Linked DNA regions of Xenopus tropicalis. The protein of the gene in region 2 purifies or fractionates together with the protein of the main gene of each other region. This does not show direct contact. Links are inferred from orthologs where the notes say so. Each region holds a gene or a part of one and is shown on either strand. Other genes may lie near its edges. The genes, in order: cct7, ddb2 and cops5.

Region 1 (3,657 bases), on a different chromosome or scaffold from region 2:
GGGGGGGGTTCCCCAGGAGCCACGTTTCTGCCCTGGGCACTATATGGTAACTCACCTTGTGTATTAGGTACCGTACATGCGTGCCACCCTTCTGATTGGCCAGCGTGCAGATCCCTGTGCCATTGCTATACACCTACCTGCCATACATGCACTTTATTCTGGGGGCAGTTAGTGTGCGAGCCCTGCCTTAGAGGAATAGGGCCATCTATTGGCCATAGGGAATATCTGCATCGAAAGCCATAGGGAAATGATTGGTCTGACAAGCCTTTATCTGTCAGGGGTGCTGGGAGTTACTCAGGCTGCTGGGAGCTATTCAGGGTGCTGTAAGTGGGTGTTTAGTAATTCCCTTTATTTATTTATTTTTTCTTCAGGCAAAGCCACAATTTCAAACGATGGTGCCACAATCCTGAAGCTCCTTGATGTGGTTCATCCGGCAGCAAAGACGCTTGTGGACATTGCCAAGTCACAGGATGCAGAGGTGAATGTGCTAAACACTCAGGGCCCAGAATCTTTATTGTCAGGGTAATGTAGCAAATGGGTAGGTGGGATAGTGCGGCGGGGGGGGGGAGCCTTCCTATCAGTACAGGGATAGTGCGGCAAGTGAGAGAGCCTTCCTATCAGTACAGGGATAGTGCGGCAAGTGAGGGAACCTTCCTATCAGTACAGGGATAGTGCGGCAAGTGAGAGAGCCTTCCTATCAGTACAGGGATAGTGCGGCAAGTGAGGGAACCTTCCTATCAGTACAGGGATAGTGCGGCAAGTGAGGGAGCCTTCCTATCAGTACAGGGATAGTGCGGCAAGTGAGGGAGCCTTCCTATCAGTACAGGGATAGTGCGGCAAGTGAGGGAACCTTCCTATCAGTACAGGGATAGTGCGGCAAGTGAGGGAGCCTTCCTATCAGTAGAGGGATAGTGCGGCAAGTGAGGGAGCCTTCCTATCAGTACAGGGATAGTGCGGCAAGTGAGGGAACCTTCCTATCAGTACAGGGATAGTGCGGCAAGTGAGGGAGCCTTCCTATCAGTACAGGGATAGTGCGGCAAGTGAGGGAACCTTCCTATCAGTACAGGGATAGTGCGGCAAGTGAGGGAGCCTTCCTATCAGTACAGGGATAGTGCGGCAAGTGAGGGAACCTTCCTATCAGTACAGGGATAGTGCGGCAAGTGAGGGAACCTTCCTATCAGTACAGGGATAGTGCGGCAAGTGAGGGAGCCTTCCTATCAGTACAGGGATAGTGCGGCAAGTGAGGGAACCTTCCTATCAGTACAGGGATAGTGCGGCAAGTGAGGGAACCTTCCTATCAGTACAGGGATAGTGCGGCAAGTGAGAGAGCCTTCCTATCAGTACAGGGATAGTGCGGCAAGTGAGAGAGCCTTCCTATCAGTACAGGGATAGTGCGGCAAGTGAGGGAACCTTCCTATCAGCACAGGGATAGTGCGGCAAGTGAGGGAGCCTTCCTATCAGTACAGGGATAGTGCGGCAAGTGAGGGAGCCTTCCTATCAGTACAGGGATAGTGCGGCAAGTGAGGGAGCCTTCCTATCAGTACAGGGATAGTGCGGCAAGTGAGGGAACCTTCCTATCAGTACAGGGATAGTGCGGCAAGTGAGGGAGCCTTCCTATCAGTACAGGGATAGTGCGGCAAGTGAGGGAGCCTTCCTATCAGTACAGGGATAGTGCGGCAAGTGAGGGAACCTTCCTATCAGTACAGGGATAGTGCGGCAAGTGAGGGAACCTTCCTATCAGTACAGGGATAGTGCGGCAAGTGAGGGAACCTTCCTATCAGTACAGGGATAGTGCGGCAAGTGAGGGAACCTTCCTATCAGTACAGGGATAGTGCGGCAAGTGAGAGAGCCTTCCTATCAGTACAGGGATAGTGCGGCAAGTGAGGGAACCTTCCTATCAGTACAGGGATAGTGCGGCAAGTGAGGGAGCCTTCCTATCAGTAGAGGGATAGTGCGGCAAGTGAGGGAGCCTTCCTATCAGTACAGGGATAGTGCGGCAAGTGAGGGAACCTTCCTATCAGTACAGGGATAGTGCGGCAAGTGAGGGAACCTTCCTATCAGTACAGGGATAGTGCGGCAAGTGAGGGAACCTTCCTATCAGTACAGGGATAGTGCGGCAAGTGAGAGAGCCTTCCTATCAGTACAGGGATAGTGCGGCAAGTGAGGGAACCTTCCTATCAGTACAGGGATAGTGCGGCAAGTGAGGGAGCCTTCCTATCAGTAGAGGGATAGTGCGGCAAGTGAGGGAGCCTTCCTATCAGTACAGGGATAGTGCGGCAAGTGAGGGAACCTTCCTATCAGTACAGGGATAGTGCGGCAAGTGAGGGAACCTTCCTATCAGTACAGGGATAGTGCGGCAAGTGAGGGAGCCTTCCTATCAGTACAGGGATAGTGCGGCAAGTAGGCAGGTGTGGGTGGCGGAACCTTGTTTTCAATACAGGGACAGTGCTGCAAATGAGCCCGTGTGGGACCTGCTTTCATTACAGGGATAGTGCTCTGGTTTTGGTGTGGTACTGGGGTACAGGGATAGTGCTCTGGTTTTGGTGCGGTACTGGGGTACAGGGATAGTGCTCTGGTTTTGGTGCGGTACTGGGGTACAGGGATAGTGCTCTGGTTTTGGTGCGGTACTGGGGTACAGGGATAGTGCTCTGGTTTTGGTGCGGTACTGGGGTACAGGGATAGTGCTCTGGTTTTGGTGCGGTACTGGGGTACAGGGATAGTGCTCTGGTTTTGGTGCGGTACTGAGGTACAGGGATAGTGCTCTGGTTTTGGTGCGGTACTGGGGTACAGGGATAGTGCTCTGGTTTTGGTGCGGTACTGGGGTACAGGGATAGTGCTCTTGTTTTGGTGCGGTACTGGGGTACAGGGATAGTGCTCTGGTTTTGGTGCGGTACTGGGGTACAGGGATAGTGCAGCAAATGTTCCGGCAGGGAGAGCTCTGGATTCCTGCTGTTACCGAGCCTGTTCATGACTGTATTTTGCTGAGCTACGGTTGTGCCATTGCGCTGCTGATTCTGCAGAGGAACAGCCTGTATATAACTACATATTGTTTCAGGTTGGCGATGGCACCACCTCTGTTACCCTGCTGGCCGCTGAGTTTATGAAACAGGTGAAGCCCTATGTGGAGGAGGGACTCCACCCTCAGATCATCATCCGCGCTTACCGCACCGCCACACAGCTTGTGAGTATCCAATGGTATTTCTCTAGGGATTAGTGTTTTGTGCGCCAGTCGGTGGCACCTACCAGTGAGAATTAAATAGTATTTGTAAGTTATATAACTTATTTGTAAGTTATATAACTTAGTTATAAATCGGTGATTTTACTATGTCTTTTGGGCCTTATTTGAAGTCAGATGTTGTGTTTCTTTTTTTTTTTTACTCTAACCCAACAAGTGCAAATAGACCTTATTGGCCATCATATTTATAGTATTTATTCCCTTTGCCATGTGGGTCACTGCTTGGAATAATTAATCGTGTTTTCTCTTGCCTCCAGGCTGTCGGTAAGATAAGGGAAATTGCAGTCACTGTGAAGAAAGAAGATAAAGAGTAAGTATATGATATAGTTCCCACTAGACTATGCTCTTTATCAGAGTTCTGTACCTGGGAAGGTGCTGGGGGAGGTTGGATTCACTTACCCAGGGTGGGTTCTTGCCTTGTC
Region 2 (2,893 bases):
GATACTCAGAGTTCCCTGTATAACTCAGCCTGCAGCCTTGTGCCTTTATATGGGCACAGAACCCCCTCAATGACTTCTAATATCCTTGTCATTTACAGTAGGGGGTACATTTATCCTTCTTCATACATGATACAAAAAGTACCCTGAAGGAGTCTCTTTGCATGTTCCTGCAGTAAACAGACATTTTGTTCTAATAACCTGGTGTGGGTTTACGGGTGCCTGCCCTTTCTGTTTGCCAAGTTGCTCAGAATCAGGTAGTCCTTTACTTGCCTTTAATGTATTTTTTTTTTTTTTTAAATTTCAGGCCACGTGGCATCCTCGCTATGATTTAATAGTTGTTGGCCGATACCCAGACCCGCTCTTTCCAGGCTATATGTCAGATGAGCTTCGGACGGTAGATGTGTTTGATGGACAGAAAGGGAATATTGTATGCCAGCTGTATGACCCTTATGCTTCTGGTATTGTTTCGGTAAGGGTCCCACTTCTTCCATATTGGGCTCTTCATGGAAAGTGTCCACTTCTTTACCTTTAGAGGTCTCTTAGAAAGCCCTGATTGATAGGGGAACCTGGCAGTGTGGGAAGTACATCAGAAGAACATTGCCTACATTCGGTCTGTGTGAATGTTCATGTGACACACGCATTTCCCCCCAGGCCACCATGCTCCGCTTATTTAACTGGAAGGTTCTAGGTTAGACCTCTTTGAGTTTCGTAATCTCTGCACCAGGTGATCTCAGCCTTCCTACATTGCCATAGGTTCCATTCTTTCCTAAGTCTGGCCCTGCCTCTAGGGGTAAACATTCCTGCTCAAACCCCTCTAATAACCCCATTGCACCCATGCAGCTTTGGCCTCAAGTGAGTTGTTAACCTGGTTTCTATTTATCTTTCTAGCTCAACAAATTTAATCCAATGGGAGATCTTCTGGCTTCTGGCATGGGTGAGTGCACTATTGTACTTGTGGCCTCCATTAAAATAAAATAGGAAGTAGCTATATTGCTTATTGTAAGGGTATTATAACACAACAGGGGGCTGTGGGAGGGGGATACATTATTCCTTTAGAATACATGAGTGATACTCAGAGTTCCCTGTATAACTCAGCCTGCAGCCCTGTGCCTTTATATGGTCACAGAACCCCTCAGTGACTGCTAATATCCTTATCATTTACAGTAGGGGGTACATTATCCCTTATAATACATGAGTGATACTCAGAGTTCCCTGTATAACTCAGCCTGCAGCCCTGTGACAGCCAGGCAGAAAGCGGTTAAAGAAGAAATCTTCCTCTTCCCCCTATGATTTATTTTAGGTTTTAATATCTTGATTTGGAGCCGGGAGATTCTGTTGATGATGAAGCAGGAGGAGATGATGAAGGCTTTGAGGGAGAAGGGGGTTTCAGTGGGAAGGAAGGAACTTCCGAATTCCAGATTGCCACATTCCAGCGCTCCCAGAGAGAAGCCTGGGAATAAAGGCAGCACCACGGAGAGCAGCAAGACCCGGACTGTGAGGGAATCTTCTAAACGTGGGAAGCACAAAGACCCGGGCAAATGAACATAGGCTTCAGCGCCCAACTGGTCAACATTTCAAACATGGAGTATGGCAGCCAGCGCGATACCACATCCTTGGGATTGTTAGGTTGCTGGAGCCGAACCCATAGTGCCTTATTGCACTGCTTTATGTGTTTCAATACAAGGTTGCGCTGTATTTTCACATCCAGAACTTTTTCATGACTAAAATGATTTTTAGCGAGGGTCCCAGTATTACACCCTGCATCTCCGCTCTGACGAGTCCAGTCCAGTCAGTGAATTGGCTTAATCATCTGCCCCCTGCTGGCTTCTGGTATACATTACTATTTGCTTTCAGGGCATGGTATGTGTTGTCTTTCTATTTTTTTTTTTTTATATTATATATATACAAACAAAATAAATGTGGATCCATGTTAAAATGGATTCTCAAACAGAAGCGCCTGGGTGCTGACAGACTGATCATCCCTTGGAATCTTGGATTGCCCATGAGTCCAGGCCTTCGGATGAAGACCGCTGCACCAGTGGTTATTGAACAGTAGAGAACAGGATCATGGGATGGGCAACACAGATGTAACACATCCCCTTTATTCTTGCGTTCAGGTAAGAAGCCGGGGGACACCGTGGAACAAGTGAGACTGACTACCGGTGGGAACTATTGGCATGGCGGGGGCGGGGGGGGCTGATTCTGTTTGGGACATTACCATAGGAATCCTTTAGTTCTGAGGCCAAAAAGTCTTGAAGAATATGGAAAATAAATGTGACTTCCATCCTGAACCCTGTCTTCTTATGGTACTTGTTGGATCTCTTCAGGTCCGGAATAAAAAACAACCACCCACCTTTCTTCATAGTAATTGGACGTAATTGGCCAGATGTCTCACCTAGGATGACCATGGTCATTGTAGCTTAAACCTGCTCTGTCCATATCTATGCCGGTCCCATTACATTGTAGCCAATGAGGCTGGGAGGCAGTCTAGGAAGGTTGGTTGCTTTGAACTATTGCCACCTGGTTTATAATTCCTGCTTTATTCCGTGCCGTTCCAAACCCATTGTCTATGGGCAAGCAAAACATTAAAGGTTTTTCTTCGACTTATCATTGGAGGGGACATCCCACCTCTCCTTACACCACAATGGTGGTTAAAAATGCAATTATGGTATGAATGGTGGGGTACCTGCTCTGAAGGAGTCCCTTTCAATGAGTCAGTGGTACTACACTTTAAAAAGTGTCATCTGTGTCACCCCTAGCAAGTGCCAAGCACCCACCCAATTGCATTTTGCAAGATGCTGCCACCAGTCTGTGGGGAAATTCATTGAAGAATGTTTCTGGGAGTGTGAGATATGTTTCTTTAGCTTCCCCCAGCCTGTGTGCTATATAATTA
Region 3 (3,657 bases), on a different chromosome or scaffold from region 2:
CTTAGGGAGTGTCTCCCTAAGATGGCGCTACACAGATGACGTGATTAGAGTTTGGAAGGATATACAGTAAGCAATGAGCTGTTTATAAACTTAATTATATAAACCAGATATGAACCTGGAGTTTACTTATAGTTCAAGCAAGGACCTAGAAGTTGTTTAAGAATCTTTTTCAAAAGATTGGTATGTCCAAGCAAACAGAAATCATATTCTTAAAGGTATACTTTCATGATTTTTATGGTATACTTTTTATTTCTAAATTACACTGTTTACAAATAATTCACTCAACCATTTAAAATTCTATTCTTGAACCAACAAATTTATTTTATTTTCTTAGTTGTAATATTGGTGTGTAGGCACCATCTCAGTGCATTGTGCCCGAGTCTGAGCTTTCAAAAGGAGCCAGCACTACACATTAGAACTGCTTTCAGGTAACCTATTGTTTCTCCTACTCCCATCCCAATCCAAGCTGGATTTATTACTATTGAGTGCTATTCTGATACCTACTGAGAGCTGCTATCTTGCTCCCTTCCCATTGTTCTGCTGACTGGCTGCTGGGGAGGGTGATATCACTCCAACTTGCAGCGCAGCAGCAAAGTGTGACTGAAGTTTATCAGCGCACAGGTCACATGGCTGTGTCTGGCTGGGAAATGAAGAATATGGCTAGTCCCAAGTGAAATTTCAAAATTAAATATAAATAAAAATCTGTTTGTGCATTTGAAAACGGATATCAATTCAGGATTCTCCTGAAGAAGCTCTATTAACTGATGCATTTTGAAAAAAAAAACCATGTTTTCCTATGACAGTATTCCTTGTGGTTTAGGAAAATTGTATGACAATCTATAATATGGCTAGTGCAACACGGAGCTGTTTCCTGGCCTGCGTATAAACACAGGCCTACAAACAGATGCTCTGCTGGTCTCTGCTCACCCCTCTGTCTGCATTGACAGGCACTTTTGTAGCCTAGGTGCAGACACACAGAGCAGATTTCAGTGCAAAAATGCGAGTATGCATTTTAAAATCCACTCTGTGCATCTGTACCCAGCTAACACAGTGCATATGAGTACAAAGGGAGAAGCAAGCAGAGGCCAATGGATGGAATGTTTTTAAACTGCCCCAGGTGGAGTAACATTTAGGAAGGTACCCAACACAAGACAAATGTTAGATCATAGCTACCTTCCAATAAAAAAATGACGAGCTTAACTAAAGACATTTAAATCTAGGGTCACAGGAGAGGAATTAAAAATTAACACAGTTTTTAGGTGCAATACCAATAATGTTACATACATCTAAGATACTAATGCATGTTTGGCAGCTATAAGGAGAGTGAAATAAAATCTAAGATACTGTAAAGCATACATTAATATATATACTCATGCAAAGATTCACAGCCTGTAATTGAACTGGATATACCATAAAATTGCTCTGTGCCCTGCCTATAAGCCATACTATGAAGCTTAGGACTCTTTTTTAAGAGTCTTTTTCTTAGCCTTGTAATTCCTTTTTAATATATTAGTTTCTTATGTTTCCACTACAAAATTACTTACTGCTTACAATGCACCCCAAAATCTTCTATTTTGTTCAAAGGAATCGTCTGGTACTCTGACGGACCCTCATCTGGAGGTTTATAGCCCTACAACAAGAAGGTCATCCATCAGAATTGCAAAACAAGGAGTTGATTTACTTTACTTTTTCCTGTTTATTTTTCACATCAGCTAAATGTTAAGTAAATATGTGTTTGAGTGAGTTGTAGCTCACCAGGACAAATATATGGCACAACCAAAAAAGGAAGTGTCATGATTTTGTAGCTACTTTCATATAGTGACAAGTATTGATTTTGTATCTTTTATGCCAAAATGTACTGGTGTCATTAAACCAGGGAAGGGAGTATGTTCATTTGCCATAAAGTTTTAGAAAGACATGTAAAACAAGGTGAAGGACCCTATGAATGTACTGAATTGAGTGTTTGCTACATGGACTATATATCCAGCAGTGAGGTTAGCCTGGAGTGGAACAGTGCATATTTTCATTGTTTGTGTGATCTGTCTCATATTTGGCTAAAAGCAAGTAGATGTAAGCCATAATAATCTTACCCTTGTTATATGCCAAGTAATGATTAAATTACAATTAAAAGTAATATGAAACTTAAATATCATTAACATTCACCTTTGGATATGTTCTGAATGCACCAAGATTAACTTTGCCAGCAGATATTGTTCTTGTTGGATCAATCTGAAGAAATGAAAATTGGAATAAAAAAACTTGTTGTATCAATAATCTGCAATGACGTTATAGTAATACTGTACTCACCACTACTGCAACAAAGGGTTCTTGAAACTGCTGATTAAGCATCTGGGTGCTGACATCTATGCCAGAAAGCCAACAGCCATAGCCAGGGTGACTGTGGTACCAGCCTATTGCATTTTCAAGTCTTCCAACCTGTGAAGAAAAAAAACAAGGATTGGCTGCCAAATTCTGTCATTTTATTTCAGGTAACACCAAAAAATTAAAACATCTTTTTATTTTTTTTTACTTTTAAAGTTTGTAAAGTATTTGTTGATATAGGACTTAAATATTTACAAGTTGTGAAGGCATTTGTCCGTTTATCTTTTTGAGTAAGAGCTAAACCGATTGCATTCTACAGAGTTTATCTGCTATATAGCCTGCAATTTTTTACTTTTACAGCTTGAATGGCTGCCCCCATGATCACACAGCAAGCAAATACACAGTTTTTACAAATGAAGGCAGCCGTACATTATATTTTAATTAGTTAAAAAAATGTAATTTGTTGGTATTACTGTTCCTTTAACACAATTTATAATACACTATATATATATATATATATATATATATATTATATATATATATATATATACACACAAACCAAGAGGGTTCAGCACTCCTTAGCAAGTGGCTAATTGACCCAGGTGCTACCGATTCAAGCAATTTCAATAGAGTCCACAGGTATAGCGGTGCACACTGGGAATCCTTTAAAAGTTAGCTTTTATTAAACTATATAAAACTTAATACATGGAGAAATAGGTCAACGTTTCGGCCCCCATCTTGGGCCTTTGTCAAGACCTTAAACATGTAACAACCATCAAAGCTATAAATAGATAAAAGCACAAACCCACACCCAATGGCACAAGTCATTCCAGTCATGTGTCAAAATTAAAAGAAAAGAAACCCTGTACCAAGGAGAAAACAATATCAAACACCATAAGGAGAATTATAATGAGCATACCACTGGCCATAAACTCCCATTGGGAGTTTATGGCCAGTGGTATGCTCATTATAATTATATTATCATTATATTATATATATATATCGAACCAAGGGTGGCACACCGCTTCAATCCTTGTCCCAGGTGCACGGTAAAAGAGTTTAGATATTGAAAAAAAGACCAGCAACACCGGATCTATTGCAAACAATCAATTATATATTGAAAAATACATATATAGAATATATATATATAATATATTCTATGTTTTTTTCCGTGCACCTGGGTAGAAATTGTTTGAATGCGGGGCATCTTTAAAGGCACAGATATTCCCTACTAGAGGGCTACTGTTGAATGTGTAATAAAGGATACCTTGTTCCAATTGAGAGAACTTGTATAGACAGGGAATAAACCTTGTGTTTAAGCTCGGGTGAGCAGAT

What was found.
Region 1: the proteins of ddb2 (region 2) and cct7 purify together in Homo sapiens (co-immunoprecipitation; 3 studies listed by BioGRID and IntAct, counting the BioPlex papers as one, with this or other methods). This does not show direct contact. The link is inferred for Xenopus tropicalis from reciprocal best matches to the Homo sapiens genes DDB2 and CCT7.
Region 3: the proteins of ddb2 (region 2) and cops5 purify together in Homo sapiens (affinity purification with mass spectrometry; 10 studies listed by BioGRID and IntAct, counting the BioPlex papers as one, with this or other methods). This does not show direct contact. The link is inferred for Xenopus tropicalis from reciprocal best matches to the Homo sapiens genes DDB2 and COPS5.

The regions. Positions count from the first base shown.
Region 1 is NC_030677.2:16,896,453-16,900,109, reverse strand, and holds part of cct7 (T-complex protein 1 subunit eta), read left to right. Parts: intron 1-371; coding exon 372-478; intron 479-3,055; coding exon 3,056-3,181; intron 3,182-3,492; coding exon 3,493-3,545; intron 3,546-3,657. UniProt on the Homo sapiens protein: Component of the chaperonin-containing T-complex (TRiC), a molecular chaperone complex that assists the folding of actin, tubulin and other proteins upon ATP hydrolysis.
Region 2 is NC_030680.2:15,450,534-15,453,426, forward strand, and holds the end of ddb2 (DNA damage-binding protein 2), read left to right. Parts: intron 1-304; coding exon 305-469; intron 470-888; coding exon 889-934; intron 935-1,300; coding exon 1,301-1,542; 3' UTR 1,543-2,291; downstream 2,292-2,893.
Region 3 is NC_030682.2:119,213,191-119,216,847, forward strand, and holds part of cops5 (COP9 signalosome complex subunit 5), read right to left. Parts: intron 2,437-3,657; coding exon 2,308-2,436; intron 2,230-2,307; coding exon 2,164-2,229; intron 1,631-2,163; coding exon 1,545-1,630; intron 1-1,544. UniProt on the Homo sapiens protein: Probable protease subunit of the COP9 signalosome complex (CSN), a complex involved in various cellular and developmental processes.